Linked DNA regions of Saccharomyces cerevisiae S288C. The gene in region 3 interacts genetically with the main gene of each other region. Each region holds a gene or a part of one and is shown on either strand. Other genes may lie near its edges. The genes, in order: CWH41, SIL1, SEC63 and YET3.

What was found.
Region 1: mutations in SEC63 (region 3) and CWH41 together harm fitness more than expected from each alone (negative genetic interaction), as found in Saccharomyces cerevisiae (4 studies listed by BioGRID).
Region 2: mutations in SEC63 (region 3) and SIL1 together harm fitness more than expected from each alone (negative genetic interaction), as found in Saccharomyces cerevisiae (4 studies listed by BioGRID, with this or other methods).
Region 4: mutations in SEC63 (region 3) and YET3 together harm fitness more than expected from each alone (negative genetic interaction), as found in Saccharomyces cerevisiae (3 studies listed by BioGRID, with this or other methods).

Annotation. Positions count from the first base shown.
Region 1 is NC_001139.9:443,109-447,796, forward strand, and holds CWH41 (mannosyl-oligosaccharide glucosidase), read right to left. Parts: upstream 3,036-4,688; coding exon 534-3,035; downstream 1-533. Other genes in the region: tryptophan synthase TRP5, read right to left, coding at 3,304-4,688. UniProt on the Saccharomyces cerevisiae protein: Cleaves the distal alpha 1,2-linked glucose residue from the Glc(3)Man(9)GlcNAc(2) oligosaccharide precursor highly specifically. Seems to play a role in beta-1,6-glucan synthesis.
Region 2 is NC_001147.6:265,714-269,433, forward strand, and holds SIL1 (Sil1p), read right to left. Parts: upstream 1,817-3,720; coding exon 551-1,816; downstream 1-550. Other genes in the region: OPI10 (Opi10p), read left to right, coding at 1-456; GAS5 (1,3-beta-glucanosyltransferase), read left to right, coding at 2,474-3,720. UniProt on the Saccharomyces cerevisiae protein: Required for protein translocation and folding in the endoplasmic reticulum (ER). Functions as a nucleotide exchange factor for the ER lumenal chaperone KAR2.
Region 3 is NC_001147.6:804,516-808,577, forward strand, and holds SEC63 (protein-transporting protein SEC63), read right to left. Parts: upstream 2,509-4,062; coding exon 517-2,508; downstream 1-516. Other genes in the region: peptide alpha-N-acetyltransferase subunit NAT5, read left to right, coding at 1-392; OSW1 (Osw1p), read left to right, coding at 2,756-3,592; TRE2 (putative zinc metalloprotease), read right to left, coding at 3,739-4,062. UniProt on the Saccharomyces cerevisiae protein: Acts as a component of the Sec62/63 complex which is involved in SRP-independent post-translational translocation across the endoplasmic reticulum (ER) and functions together with the Sec61 complex and KAR2 in a channel-forming translocon complex.
Region 4 is NC_001136.10:329,269-332,339, forward strand, and holds YET3 (Yet3p), read right to left. Parts: upstream 1,180-3,071; coding exon 568-1,179; downstream 1-567. Other genes in the region: AHK1 (Ahk1p), read left to right, coding at 1-299; BDF2 (Bdf2p), read left to right, coding at 1,756-3,071. UniProt on the Saccharomyces cerevisiae protein: May play a role in anterograde transport of membrane proteins from the endoplasmic reticulum to the Golgi. May be involved in invertase secretion.

The DNA.
Region 1 (4,688 bases), on a different chromosome or scaffold from region 3:
AGAAGGAAAACACGATCATTGAACTTCAATTTTCTTTCCACTTAAATAGTCCCTCCTCAGATTCTTAATTTGTTTTCGGTGCAGCATATTTTGTTGTCAGTCCTTACACTTTAACATTTTGAGATCTAGTATCCAGCTTGTAAACAATAACATTCCCTAACTTTTATTCATCTTACCGCAGTAAATAGAAAAGACCTCACTTCGCAACCATTAATCCCCAAAAGAAAAAAAAAAATGTGACATTTCATAATGCATGTTTCGAGTGTGTTTTCGATTGTTTATTTGTCTGGCTTTTAGCTGCAATGGCCCAGACTGCTAGTTACCAGTTGCTGGTTTCCACGATTTTTTAACTTTTTCTCACAGCCGCATCGAAATGTAAATAAACGCGAGAAAAAAAAAGCTGAAAATGCTGGCTCTAACTAAGAGATGCGAGGCCCTTTTCGAATAGCTGGAACATTTATAATTTTCATCCTGCATACTGGTACATATCTGGTTACATATCTGTTTATATGACTGAAAATATCTACATAGATTCAGAAGCGTCCAAGGATGTTGACAACAAGTGCTGTCCAGCCTGTGAAATGCTCAGCACCAGTACCATGACCATCTATCGGACTGTAATTTTCATAACAATAACCTTGTTCTTCCCAAACTTTGTATATGTTGTTACTGAGATTAATCTTTAAACTTTGGTACAGTTTCTTGGCATTGCTAGCCTCACCAGCCACGTCGAGAATCACCTCTGGGTAGTAGTATCTCATTGCGTCAAGACACAAGTAATTAATATTCATCCAAATTGGGCCTCTCCAATAGTTTTCATCCTTGCCGAAATAGTCGTCTTGTCTCGATAGTGATAACAGCCCGTAGTCTGAAAAGATTTTTTCTGGGTCACTCATCAAAGCAACTACTTTCTCTAGCTTGGGTGAGTTTTTGGGGATTAGCTTCAATGCAAAGGGCAATACGGAGACGTAACCCTCATGACATACAAACTCCCTAATCTCATCGTCTTCTGGATCGATGCTAATATCACAGTAGCAATTGTCATTTTCACTCCAGTGTAACAAATCCAGATTCTCGACCACCTCTTGCTCAATTTGTGCATATCTTTGCTCGTCCTGTGTTAACTTCAACACGTGAGCAATTTGCTTCATGGATCTTGTCATAACGCCCACCCATGCTAATGCGTCTACGTTCAATTCTGCTACATCTGGTGGTTGTGCTCTAGGATAGTCATCCATACCGCTTGGCAAACAATGAGTGAAGGTACGCCCAACCCATCTATAAACTTCGTTCTTATGAATCTTATCCCATATTCCTTCATCTTCCAATATTTCCTCATATTCATCAATAAGTCCTGTTTGAGATTTTCTGAACCAATTATAGTGCTTCAATAGCTTAGGATAAATTTTCTTGGCATATTCGGTTAGCAAGCCAGGATTGGCTTCTAGATTGTTCGTCATAAACTTGGCTGTCCTACTATTGAACATGACTTGGTGGTAGCTGTCACTGTTGAAATCGCCGATGTTTTCAATGGCCCTAGAAAGCATTTCACTAAATGCTAGCAATAAAGTTGGCGGATTAGCAATATTGGGATTTTGCACCTGAAATTCCTGCGGAACTTTACTCCTTGCCTCATTACCCAGTATAATTTCTCTAGCAATCCAACCACTATCATCTTCGATCATTTCAAACCAGCTCGCTAAGATTTCAAAGGCAAGGTCAAAATCATACTCCATAATTTGTAGAAGATGGAAACCTTCATCCCAATAGAATCCACGTGGGAAAAAGCCACGGCTCGGAACGCTGGTAAACAGTTCAAATGGACCTTCCTCTTTTGCATTCAGCAGTTTGATCTCTGTAAACTGGCTCTCATCAAATTCTGTTTCACGATCAATTAGTTGATTCCCATAGAAATAACCGATTCCTCCTAATAGGTTTGATAGCGTCTCTAAAGCAAATCTTCTTTTGACCTCCACGCTTTCAATTGAGTCGGGACCTTCTCCAAAACTAAACTGCTTATCAAAACGCGCGTTTATCTCATTTAGTGACCAAGTAATCAACTCCGTAACTTGTTCCCTGGTGGAAATACTTTGAGTAGTGCCAAGTTTATTGTAAGTGATATCAAATTGGAACCCATCTTTTTTGGTCAAATCAAATGTCTTTTGTATATAATGAAAATTACCAGGATTAAAATTGTACAAATTTCTAATAGTTAAAACACTTGGTATTAAATCAGCAGGACGCTGCTTTGTCTCTTCCTTTTCCAGTATATCACGTATCGAATCGCTAACTAGAGATTGGAAAACATCACGAGCCTTCCAAACTTCTTTATCCGGGATTTGAAGTGATAAATGACTTGTTTTAGAGCAGTCACTTCCTGGTGCTACTTCCATGGTTTCATATTCCGGATTTTTGAAGTAGTGACCAAAATTGTCCTTTACTGTAAGATGATACTCGCCTAATTCTTTAGAATATCCGAAGAATTTCATGTCATTAGGGCCGTCATGACCTATCATTGCTAAGGAAGATTTTCCATCTATCTCGCCACCATTTTGACTAAAGTACAATACGACAGATGCTGTAGATGGTCTCTTGGGATCCAAAGGCTCACCTTGAACTCTCACTGACCAATTTTCCCCGTTCTTGCTCTTTACAAAATAAACAGTCAAGTTCAAGTTATTTTTTTCATCAATAAAAACTTCTTTACCACCAATTCTTGGATCATACACTTCCCAACCATACTTTTGCAATTTATCCTGAGGCGTTGCAAAATGTCTTAACGAATGTAAGCCATCCTGACTCAAACTGTTGAACCACATGATACCCATAATTAGTGGACTTTCATGGACATATCTGGGCCTCATACCAAAGTAACAATTGGATCTATACGGTGCCCACAGTAAAGATTCATTCGTGAACTTTTGATATTCTTCGAATTCTTGTAGTTTACTAATATCAACGGTGGCAGATGCCAGGAGAACTATGCTGGTTAGTATCCAAAATGTTTTAAACATCTTAGATTTTGAAATAAGCATTGTGAAGCAACCTGAACCGTTATTATCCACTACTTCCTTATTAACAGTTGACGCTAATATAGTGTGTCACGCATACAATAATTGAACTTTTAAATTACGCGAAAATGTGGCTGTTCTGACCGAAATGATCTAAAATTGGTCACGATACTAATCTTGAGCAAATTGAGAGGTAAAAGAGCTGAATATGCTAATGTATCCCGATCGTATATTATATTCGTCTATGTAGTTAAAAAGCTAAATAAAAGCGTTCCTTATCAGATATTACTCATTAGGCAGATGGGTCTTCTTCGAATCTCAAATCCCAACCTATCTTTGGACCTAATTTCGGCAAGACTTCAGCGACACTTTGGACATCTTTATCACCTCTACCAGAAATATTGATAACCAAATGTTGATCAGGCTTCATCGTCTTAGCCAATTCGCAAGCGCCATAAACAGCATGAGAAGATTCCAAAGCGGGAATAATACCTTCTAATTGAGATAATAATTTAAAGCCAAGCAGAGCCTGAGCGTCAGTAGCTGCAATGAATTGAGCACGGCCAGTAGATTTCCAATATGCCAATTCTGGACCGACACCTGGGTAGTCTAACCCAGCAGAAACAGAATGAGTATCATGGACTTGACCATCACTATCTTGCAAGACATAAGTCTTGACACCATGGAAGACACCAGGTCTACCGGCAGTTAGAGTAGCAGAGTGGAACTTTGTATCTACACCATCACCACCGGCTTCCACACCCAATAACTTAACGGAAGTATCATGCTCGAATGGTGAAAACATACCTGTAGAGTTGGAACCACCCCCAACACATGCAACAACTGCGTCAGGTAATTTACCATTGTTCATGGCAGCAAACTGTTCCTTGGTTTCTTTACCAATGACACTTTGGAAAGTTCTAACCAAAGTTGGATATGGGTGAGGACCAATGGCAGAACCGACGACGTAGTAAGTAGTTTTCAAGTTAGTAACCCAAAATCTGAATGCCTCTGAAGTAGCGTCTCTTAGAGTCTTTGTACCATTAGTAACAGCAATTACTTTAGCACCGAGAATTCTCATTCTGAAGACGTTTAAAGCTTGGCGACGAACATCTTCTGCACCCATGAACACAGTACAGGTTAAGCCAAATTTAGCACATGCAGTGGCAGTGGCAACACCGTGTTGACCAGCACCGGTTTCAGCAATAACGTTCTTCTTGCCTAATCTTTTAGCTAGAAGAACTTGTGCTAAAGCATTGTTGATCTTGTGAGATCCCGTGTGGTTAAGATCTTCTCTCTTCAACCAGATTTGAGCACCTTGACAATGCTCAGTTAATCTCTCAGCTTTGTGTAGTGAAGAAGGACGGCCAATATAAGAATACAAGGATTTGAAGTCTTCCCAGAATGTGGGATCGGCGACAGCTTCATCAAAACCCTTTTCCAACTCTCTTAGACATGCATGAAGAGCTTCTGGGACATACTGACCACCAAAGTCCCCAAATCTAATTGGGTGCTTGTGATTTTCATCAAATTCGTCCAGTATTTCCTTCTTAACGTTTGCGGACTTCAAGGACTCTTTTTGAAAGGCAAAGAATTCGTCCTTGGACAGAACCTTATGCTTAGCACCATTTAGAATTCCCTGTACATATTCCTTAGCAACGTCGTACCTTTTGCCCT
Region 2 (3,720 bases), 540 kb from region 3:
GATACAAGTGATGGATTAGGTGAGATAGACATGGATGTAGATGATGGTTCGGGGGCCGCTGATCCGTTTACTGACACCAATGGAAGTAGCAGTAATAACATATCAGAATTGATTATTGGTATTTCCATTGAGCCTCGAGAACAAGGAATGATGAAATTAGAAGAGTGGAAGGCCAGCATGAATGCCGAAGCACAAAAGAACAACTCATTGATCTTGTCAAGACCTAACTTAGGAATAATTCGAAATATTACCACGGCAGGGCAGTTGGCACAAGTTTACCCTTCATTGACACAAGAATTGGCCGCCAAAATCGTTCAGCATGCATATAACTATTTATCAGGGTTCCTAGATGCTCAGGGAAACGTGCCCATCAAGAGGTTTGATACATGGTGGGACAAATTTAGAAATAGACTGGCCAACGACGGGACGTTTTTGGATGAAGTAACTAAAAATTAGACACGGATATATAATATATCTCTAATAAGATTCACGAAATATTAATTGAAAAAAATATTATTAATATTAAACTATATATGCAATGACAGTGAAATCAGAGTTCATCTCTGAAATTTTTTATTCTATGAGCCATGGGGTTGCCAAAGATCAAGTGTCTGCTGTCGATAAGTTTCTTATCAAATGAGTCTTGTTCAGTATCTCTCTCTTGGAGCCCATTGTCCAAGTTAGATTGCCTGGCTTTACATTGTTGCGCTAACCAATTCAAAAACCCTTTGTTGATCGTGATGTCACTTTTGAAAATTTTCTTCAAGTTGTAAAGGGTGTCAAAAAACGTTCTTGTATGTAGTTCATCTATACTTTTGTTCTGGACCATCTCTTGGAACTCGTTTGCCCACTCTTGCAGATTTGACGACCAATTCTCAGCATTTCTTTTGAACAAAATTAGATTTGTATCGTCATTTTCGTACATGTCGGCCTTCAAAATTTTGCTGATCAACTCCAGGACTTTTATTTGTAACTGTTTGTCCTTGTTGTTTCTTTCATATACATTTTGTAAAACAACCGTAGAGTATATAGGAAGATCTTCGGATGTGACAGGTAATTCGTTTAAAATGGACAAGTATCTTTTTATTAGGATATTAGAGGATCTGTGGTTAGAATCATTCAAATTTGACAGAGCGGCCATGATTTTGCTTTTAAAATTTGGAAAACTTTCATTAATGAACTCGACTACAGGAGGATTGTTTCTCAAGCAGCTGGTAATGACTCTAGTACTGAGCTCTCTCAATGTTAACGGCAAATTTTCATTGAGACTAAGGTTGGCCAAGAGGGCGAATTCATGGGTAATAATTTTGTAGCCGTGCTTGTAATCATGCGCAAATTCCATTATTCTATCAAAACTATCCTCCAATCTGGCAATGTCCTGTGAAGATAAAGTCGGGTTAGAATCTATGATGTTTCTCATTTCTTTGAAATCACTGGAAAATTCATAGTCACCAGGCGATGCTTTCATGTCTTCTGAAGATACAATTAACTCATGGCTACCATTATCACCGACATTCTTCTCATCATTTAGTTTTGCCTCTTTTAAACCTGTGTCCATGTTTATTCTAATGTCCAAACCACCGGGGAGTTCTTGACCTGGCAGTATGGGCTGCCAATCGTGTCTTGGTTCAAATATCTTAGGATAGCAACGATTATCAACGCAGATCGAATTCCCTGAAATTTCAAGTTCTTTAAGATCTTCTGCAGATATGATTTCGCCTCCAGATGGCACTGAGTGTATGGATGAATGCAATATTGTACTCGCCACTAATTTCGAAGATAGGGCGCTCAAAATTATGGGAAGAATCCGGACCATTCTAAGTTTGCGTTCTTGGAAGTGATATTCAATATCGAGAACTTCCAGCGATGCGAAAACTAGTCTATTATAGTTGCTAATGTGTGCTCTATCATTTACGTGGCCTTTTCACATAGTCTGGTCTTTCTTAATTATCACAATTCCGTTACCCGAAATCTAATCTCGTGTTTAGCTTCGATCTGCGGACGTTACTTCTAACGTCCAGAACACTTCACCCGCTATTTACGTTTTGATCTAGTTGCGGCCTCCAAACCTGCAGATGAATCGTTCATTACATTCTTGCTGCCACTAGTTGGCCGCTGCGTATACAACAAGAAATATACTATGCATTTATGTAACGCGCTTTAGTCAGTAGCCTCAGTAATGCCTTTTCTAAGGTCAGTATGTCAATATCTCTCGGGTGAACCCCAACATTGTTGTTCTTTCTTCGTTGTTTCTCTCTCTTATCATCTTCTGTGTCTTTGCTTTCTTTTGTTCACAATTTCTCGAGAAAAAAAACTCCGCAGGAAATTTTTCACTTTTATTTTGCTTATACTATAAATAGGAAGGTCCCTGAACTGATTTGTTGACAGTGTTGCATTTCGTATATAAAAGTAAACAGTGGGCTGTAACAAACATATTATATATCACTCGCTACACACACAGCTCTAAATAGCTATGTTACTACGTTCTCTTACAAGTGCCTTCGTTTTAAGTGCTGGTTTGGCTCAGGCTGCTAGCAGCAGTAACAGTTCCACACCATCCATTGAAATTAAAGGCAATGCATTTTTTAATTCGGAATCAGGTGAAAGGTTTTATATCCGTGGTGTTGATTACCAGCCTGGTGGTTCTTCTAACTTGACTGATCCCTTAGCAGACGCATCTGTCTGTGACAGAGACGTCCCCGTTCTGAAAGATCTAGGGATAAATACTGTCAGAGTTTATACTGTGGATAACTCGCAAGATCATTCCCATTGTATGAAACTATTGCAGGAGAACGGTATATACTTGATCCTGGATGTCAATACCCCCACGAGTGCTATTTCTCGTTACGATCCAGCCTGCTCCTATAACGCTGACTACTTACAAAATGTCTTTGCCACCATTGATACCTTTGCTGATTACGACAATGTTCTAGGTTTTTTCGCTGGTAACGAGGTCATCAATAGTGTTAATACTACCAACACTGCTACTTATGTCAAGGCAGTGGTCAGGGACATGAAGAAATACATCAAGGCTAGAAAATACAGACAAATTCCGGTAGGTTACTCGGCTGCTGATATCGTCGCTAACAGACAATTGGCTGCTGAATACTTTAACTGTGGTGATGAAGCTGACGCTAGAATCGACATGTTTGGTGTTAATGACTATTCTTGGTGTGGTGAATCTTCATTTGTGGTATCGGGTTATTCCACCAAGATGAAGCTATATCAAGATTACTCCGTTCCTGTCTTCTTAAGTGAATTTGGTTGTAACCAAGTCAAGAGCTCTCGTCCATTCACAGAAATTGAAGCTATCTATTCCACTCAAATGTCTTCTGTATTCTCCGGTGGGCTAGTCTACGAATATTCCAATGAAACTAACAATTACGGGCTCGTTCAAATTGATGGTGACAAGGTCACTAAATTGACAGATTTTGAAAACTTGAAAAATGAATACAGCAAAGTATCCAACCCAGAAGGCAATGGTGGTTACAGTACTTCCAACAACTATTCTACATGTCCTGATTATGAAAAGGGTGTCTGGGAAGCTAATAACACTTTGCCTGCTATGCCAAGTGCTGCTTCTGCTTACTTCACATCTGGAGCAGGTTCTCCTATGGGAACCGGAATCGCCACCCAACAAAGTTGTGATGCTAAGGACGATGACGACGAAGAAGACGACGACACCTCCTCTTCATCCTCTTCTTCCTCTTCATCTTCATC
Region 3 (4,062 bases):
CAAAAAATAAAAAGCCATCTTCGAAGAAGGATGTACATTTCACACAGATGGCTTATTACAGTGAAATACCAGTGGGTGGTTTGGTTGCTAAATTAGTTCCTAAAAAACAAAACGAACTATCTCTCAAGGGCATTCAAATCGAATTTTTGGGCGTGTTGCCTAATTATAGGCACAAATCCATCGGTTCAAAATTACTGAAGTTTGCAGAAGACAAATGCTCAGAATGTCATCAACATAACGTGTTTGTCTATTTACCAGCAGTGGATGATCTTACAAAGCAATGGTTTATAGCTCATGGCTTCGAACAAGTGGGCGAAACTGTCAACAATTTCATAAAAGGTGTAAATGGCGACGAACAAGATGCTATCTTATTGAAAAAACACATTTCTTAACAGATGGCTGAAAAATTTTTTTTTTTTTTTTGGTTTTGCTTTGTATACACATGTATCTATTTTTATAAAGATGAAATATATACGTCTAAGAGCTAAAATGAAAAACTATACTAATCACTTATATCTATTCTGGTGATTCATCATCTTCAGCTTCTGTATCCGTATCGATATCAGTATAATCGCTAGCATCACTTTCATCATCACTTTCGGTTTCGTCGTCATCAGTAGAGTACTCATCATCCTCCTCAGAATACACCTCTACTTGTTCCACTGCAGGAGAATCACGAACTTTCATATTCATGGTAATATCCAAATCTGTAGTGAAATAATCTGTGGATTTAACGATTACTCTAAAAAAGAAATCACCAACAGTTTCAGGTGCAGGCTGACCTAATGGAATTTTTATGGTCCCGATTTCCCAATCATTTATATCGAATTTTTCGTGTTTGGTTAAATCCATTTTTATCCTCTTATCAAAGAAATCTTTGTCATCGTTCAAGTTCTTGTAAGATAGCTTTTCAATGATAATTGGCGTTTGAAGTATTTTACCATCTTTTTGAGAACTTACCAGACAGCACCAACTCCCACGTCTCTTTGTAGGGAAAAATGGTGCAAAGGAATATGGGACGAGTGGCTGTTTACTCATCATAGCAAATGGATCTCTTTGAGATTCAAAATCTTGAGGTTCTGTTAAATTTTCTTCAGGAATTAAGCTAGTTGGTATCAATGGCTGTTTAGCAGAACGAACCAGTACTTTCAAAGAAATGTATGGGGTAGATGATGGTGTTACTTGGTTCTCACCTGGGACAAGGAAGTCTGCCTTGATGATCTTTAGATTTGGAATATGCGATGCAACTCTCAAAGTTTCGTTTAACTTTGCTTGATCCTTTATTCCAAGAACCTCACCAATCTTGGCATCTTCTAAAGTAAACAATTTACCTAATGTATGAATATCTCCGGTTTTGGTAATAAAGTGCTCTTTATCTACGTTCGGCAATTGAAGGATTTGACAGTTTGGTGTTAATGGTACAGCCTGAACAATACACTTGAAAGTATTGATTGCACCCAATGCAATATCTAAATTTCTGAATCCACAAGCAATATCCAATAAACCGTGTAACAAAGAGTGACATTTGGCCACTATTCTAAATTTCGCATTGTTAAGTTTACCACTATCTCTGCGGTTAATATGATCTTGCAAAAGTTTTTCAAAATCCGTTGGTTGCAAATCCGGGAAGAATTGTTTAAATTCATGAGCAAATGATAACCAGTGTAAGATCAAATCTGTGGTGACAATCTCAGATGGCTTGTAATTGACTAAGTTACTAACAAAATTAGAAGCCGTCACATTATGTATTCCCTTCTTAGTATACGATTGTGTTCTTGCCCACCATCTACTAACAAAATATGGCAAGATTAAACCTAGTAGCGCAACATAACAAACCACTAATAATGGAGATGCACTTCCATCTACCAAAAATCTTGGTAGAGCGATACCATGTGAAGTAGATTGTGGGCCATCTGGATGACCGTATTTCAAATAGTTTTGCCTAACCAATTCGTCAGTAAGGGATTCGTAAGCCTTCGTAATCTGAACATAAGTTTCTTCCATCACACTTTTCTCATCAGGTGTTAGGCCCTTTGCTAATTTATCTGGATGAAATTTAACAGATAATTTTCTATAAGCAGATTTGATGTCTCTATCGGAAGCACTAGTAGAGATACCAAGGATTTCATAAGGATCAAATAATTTTGTAGCAGCGTCTTTAATCGCGTCATTACTATTAATCCTTTGCAGAAGAATTGCAACTAAGATCCAACCCACAATAATTATAATATTTCTCCTGCTCCATATTTTGGACTTCTTATTACTATTTTTATCAAACTTCCTTCTAAATTGTTTGATTTCATCACTGGTGTATTCTTCATTCAAGTTCTTGAAAACTTCCTCATTAAACTCCTTACTCTTCCCTGAATTCCCATCTTCAGCATTGGCCCCAAAAAAAATTTGGTATATTTGAAGCAGTGTCATAGGCCCGACGACCATCAAGAGCCCCGTTAAAATGAAGGACGGCCACGTCTCACTAGCCTCATCATACTCGTAATTTGTAGGCATTGTGCTGTAATATGCAGTATATTTATTTTGTTGCGAAGGCCTTCTTTGGTCAATTATAACTGACTATTGTTCCAGTCGCATCTTTTATTCGTTCAGTGATCTTCGACGTGTTCAAGACAAATTTTTCAGAAAACGCCTTTCCGTAACGAGTGACCAATTCGCGTTATAAGAGCGATTGTGTCAGTAATGAAGTCAGATTGTGACATTATAAAGCTAAGACGTTAATAACTCAAAATAGAAAAGAAGCATGAGAGCACCACCTTCACCGAGAAAGTCCAAATCTGGTCATTTTTTTTACCTATATTTTCGACTGTGTCAACTGTTCAGTGGCCGGAAATTAAAGAGGAGGTGGCATGTCCACAAACTTCACATTCACCAATATAATACTCGCTGGAACTTGAGCCCCCTCTCCGAAATACACATTGAGGACATGATAAATGAACCGTCTGGACTATGTCCAGGAAGTTCCAAAAAGAAACCACTACTGATTGCAAGGTTTCCCAAGGGTTGCCAAGAATCACCAAGGGTATATGTACTGCAAAGGAACAATTTGTCTCGTTTAAAATTAAGCAAAAGAAAATATGCCCTAAGGTTCTATCACAATGAAATTTTTGGCAATAATTTAAAGAGAAAAGACGGAAGCATCCACAAAGTTGAACACCAACAGTGCGCAGAAACCGTTAGAAAGATCAAGAAAGTCACAGCAAACCATGCTGATGTTAAAATAATATTTCACGATAAAAATACTATAAGAAGTGACAAATTAGGGGGTAGGAGTAATAAGATGCAGACTAGGCCTAGTGTTCTTGAAGAGGATGTAGAAGAAGAAGTCTCTTCGGTATATATCAGATTTTGTGACGACCATTCCCTGAGAGTTAAAGATTATCACTCTTTGCACAGGCATTCTAAAAAATCTTCTAAAGAAAAACGAAATAATCAGGAGATTGGAAAATCTAAGTTGCTTGGGAAGCTTTTTGAAGAGGAAACATCGCGTCAAAACAAAGGTGTAGAGAAGAAACTAGATACGATTGTGATACAGAAATTTCAAAATTATCCTATTGTCTCCTTCTCTCGTGTCATTTAACAAAAAGATATATACAAACATAGGATACTAAGAGGAAAAGCATCCCAAAAAGAAGAAATGCTTGCATGCCATGTATTACATAATTAAAGAAAAAATTTTATTAACATACTTCCTTATACTTACAATATGTATTCTTTCAGTTCAATTTATTTATACCCGATGTCATTAGTCTCTTCGACAAACAATGCAGCAGACTGATGGAGTACTTTGCCAATAAGGTCAATTTGTTCTTGAGCCCTCTTCCAGTCATCATCGTAAATCGCATCCATCACTCCTGGAAATGTCCAGAAATCTACATTTCCACCATTTTTAGATTTATCCTCCTGTATCAATGTTGGTCCGAACAAAACGTTCTTATAAAATGATCTATTAGGTAGACCCGCCGGAGAGCATGTTCTTCTACCAATATTAGTCAATTTTTTATTCCATGTCCACCTATTAATTGAAAGTAAGGAGGGCTCTATACCATC
Region 4 (3,071 bases), on a different chromosome or scaffold from region 3:
TGCCTGATTTTAATATTTTTGGCAAATGTATGGAAGATGAGCAAGATGTAGCCAAAATTGGTAATCAGAATGTGGAAGATTTGAAAGTTACTGGGGGGCGGGAGGTGACAATTTGGAAGCAGATCCAAGATATGAAGTTGAGAACAAGGATACAAAAAATCTGTGTTTTAATTGAGACGTTCAATGCTACAGTAAGAGAATATTTTGAGTTTTCCAATCGATTAGAGCATGACGGTATATTTATAGATTTTGAAGTGAGGAAACCTAGTAGTAATAATTCTATTAATATCAAAGTCTGAATAATAGAATGAGTTACATACGTAAACGTGTAGTATTATTATTATTATTCTATTTCCTTTCCGTTTTTATTATTTATATATATATATATATATATATATATTTGGGTGTTTATATTTAGGTAGGGCATAAGGATTTACTGTCGGCATGAACCTACTTGAACAAAAAAATAAAAATCAAAAGAAAAATAATGTAGGCTTTTGCACATCGACTATATATAAATATATATATACACACTTCTGTGCAGAAGAAAAGGAATAAAACGTCAAACTAATTTATTTCTTCTTGCAACGATTCCGACTTCTCCTTTAAACGTGCAATTTCGTCATCGATGTCCTGAATTTTCTTCAATAGTTCAAAATTTTTCTCATCGCCGTGGTCATCCTTGGAAGCGCCGGATTGAGCAGCAGCTTCGGCAGTAACAGAGTCGTTCTTCTTGACATCGCTGGAGGCTACTGGAGGCGATGCTCTGTATATGTCTTTCATGGTTAAAAGTTCTATGACTAGCCCAAAAGTCCTAACGACGACAAAGGTCAAAAACAAAGTTATACCTGTCAAATACATATTCCTTTGGGCAAAGAATTTCCTAGAAAGAACCTCAATTCTATCTTGAGCGATTATAGCGCCATTATTTTGAGAGGCGCTACTTAACTGCAGCTCTTTGTCGATGCTGTACACTCTGTTGATACAATCGATGAAAAGCAAAAGAATGAACCCAAGTACACACTTGATCGCAACTTGCACTGTGGAGGATTTGAACGGCTTTAATAACAGTAAGGTGAGAGGCCTACGGTATCTAGAAGGGATTGGTAGGGCTAGAATGGAGAACATGAAAATCTCCACCACTAGAATGGCAAAAACCAAGGTGTAATATAATGACATGATTCAATTCTGTGAATTCTATGGTTATGAGTATAATGTGACGTGGTTACCTTGGAAGAGCTCACTATTCTATCTTCCTACTAAATCGGGATTTGCTATATACCATTGTTATATACGGCACTTTTCCACTCTTCTTCCCCTTAATGGAGTGAAGCAGGCAGGGTGACCCTCTAGCTAAAAAAAGAAAGAGGCGAAAAAAGAGTGCAACGTCAACAACGCTAAAAGAGAAAGGGAGAAACGCGCAAGTGTTTACGCATAGAGGGTGAACAGGAGCAAGAGCATTTTGATAGCACACAGACTTTTAATAATAAAGCGGCAGAGAATGACTCAAATAAATGCGCGATGATATTGGGAAGAGGCTCAAGCAATTCGTGAGGCGCAACCAACGCCAGTTTTTCGTTGCTCGTGCACAGTGACACGGTGGCAAAATGGTCGACGTTGGCGCTTGTTTCGGCCACTTTGTTATTCGGAAGAGATTTTATATATAAGGCGGGCGCGGTAGCCAGAAAAGAGCGAAAAAGAGAGAACGCGGAAAAACTGAAACAAACAGATTGAGCGAAATAAACCTCGGCGGCTATGTCTCGTACTAACATGGATACAAGACACGCACATTCTGCTTTACTGGCAGCACCACAGAGTGCTACTGCAAATAGCAGGAGCAGCAACAGCAGCAGCGAGAGTAGTAGTAACAAAAACAATATCAATGTCGGCGTCGGTGACGATAGCGGTAATGTCAGCGCGGTAAGTATCGACGATGGACCCCACTTCAGGGATATCTTCCACTATGGACACGAGGAAAATTACAAACTTGCGAGCAGCGGTATCACTAACCTGAATTCTTCATCCCACGCCCACCAAACTTTGTCTCCCATTTCCATTAGTAATGCATCCACTCCGGAAAGTTTTCCCGAGCACCCTTTGGGCCTAGAACGGGAAACAGAGCCGGCGTTGGAAGCTGAAATGGAAGCGGAGGAACTACCACCACACCAAAGTAAATACCTTTTAAGCTCCATTAAGGCGACCAAACGATTAAAAGATGCTAGACCGTTTCTGAAGCCGGTTGATCCTATTGCTTTGAACATCCCGCATTATTTCAACTACGTTCAAACCCCAATGGATTTGTCTTTAATTGAAACAAAATTGCAGGGCAACGTGTATCATTCAGTAGAGCAAGTCACATCGGACTTCAAAACAATGGTGGATAATTGTTTAAACTTTAATGGTCCAGAATCTTCAATCTCTTCGATGGCTAAAAGGATTCAAAAGTATTTTGAAAAAAAGTTATCTGCAATGCCACCAAGAGTTTTACCCGCTTCTGCCTTGAAGAAAACAAGCAGAAACCGGAAAAAAAATGAGGATATGGATTCCCCACTTGTCATTAGACGTTCAGTTAGTACCACCAATGACAATATTGGGGAAAGCGGAAATAGAGAAGGCGTCAGTGGTGGTAGACCCAAAAGAACAATTCATCCACCCAAATCAAAAGATTTGTTTGATATATATGAAAACTCCAAACCAAAATCAAAGACTTTACAAAAAAAATTCAGGACTTGTCTGAAAATACTAAAGGTTTTGATGAGTAAAAAAAATTCGGATATAAATTTTCCCTTTTTACAACCTGTTGATCCGATTGCTTTGAATCTACCAAATTACTTTGATGTCGTGAAGAATCCTATGGATTTGGGTACAATATCAAATAATTTAATGAACTGGAAGTACAAAACAATTGATCAATTTGTCGACGACCTCAACCTTGTCTTTTATAATTGTTTCCAATTCAATCCAGAAGGCAATGAAGTCCATTCAATGGGCAAAAAACTAAAAGAGCTTTTCAATTTTCATTGGTTAGAGAACCAGGATATTTTGAATGAAATTGAAACGGATTCAGATCT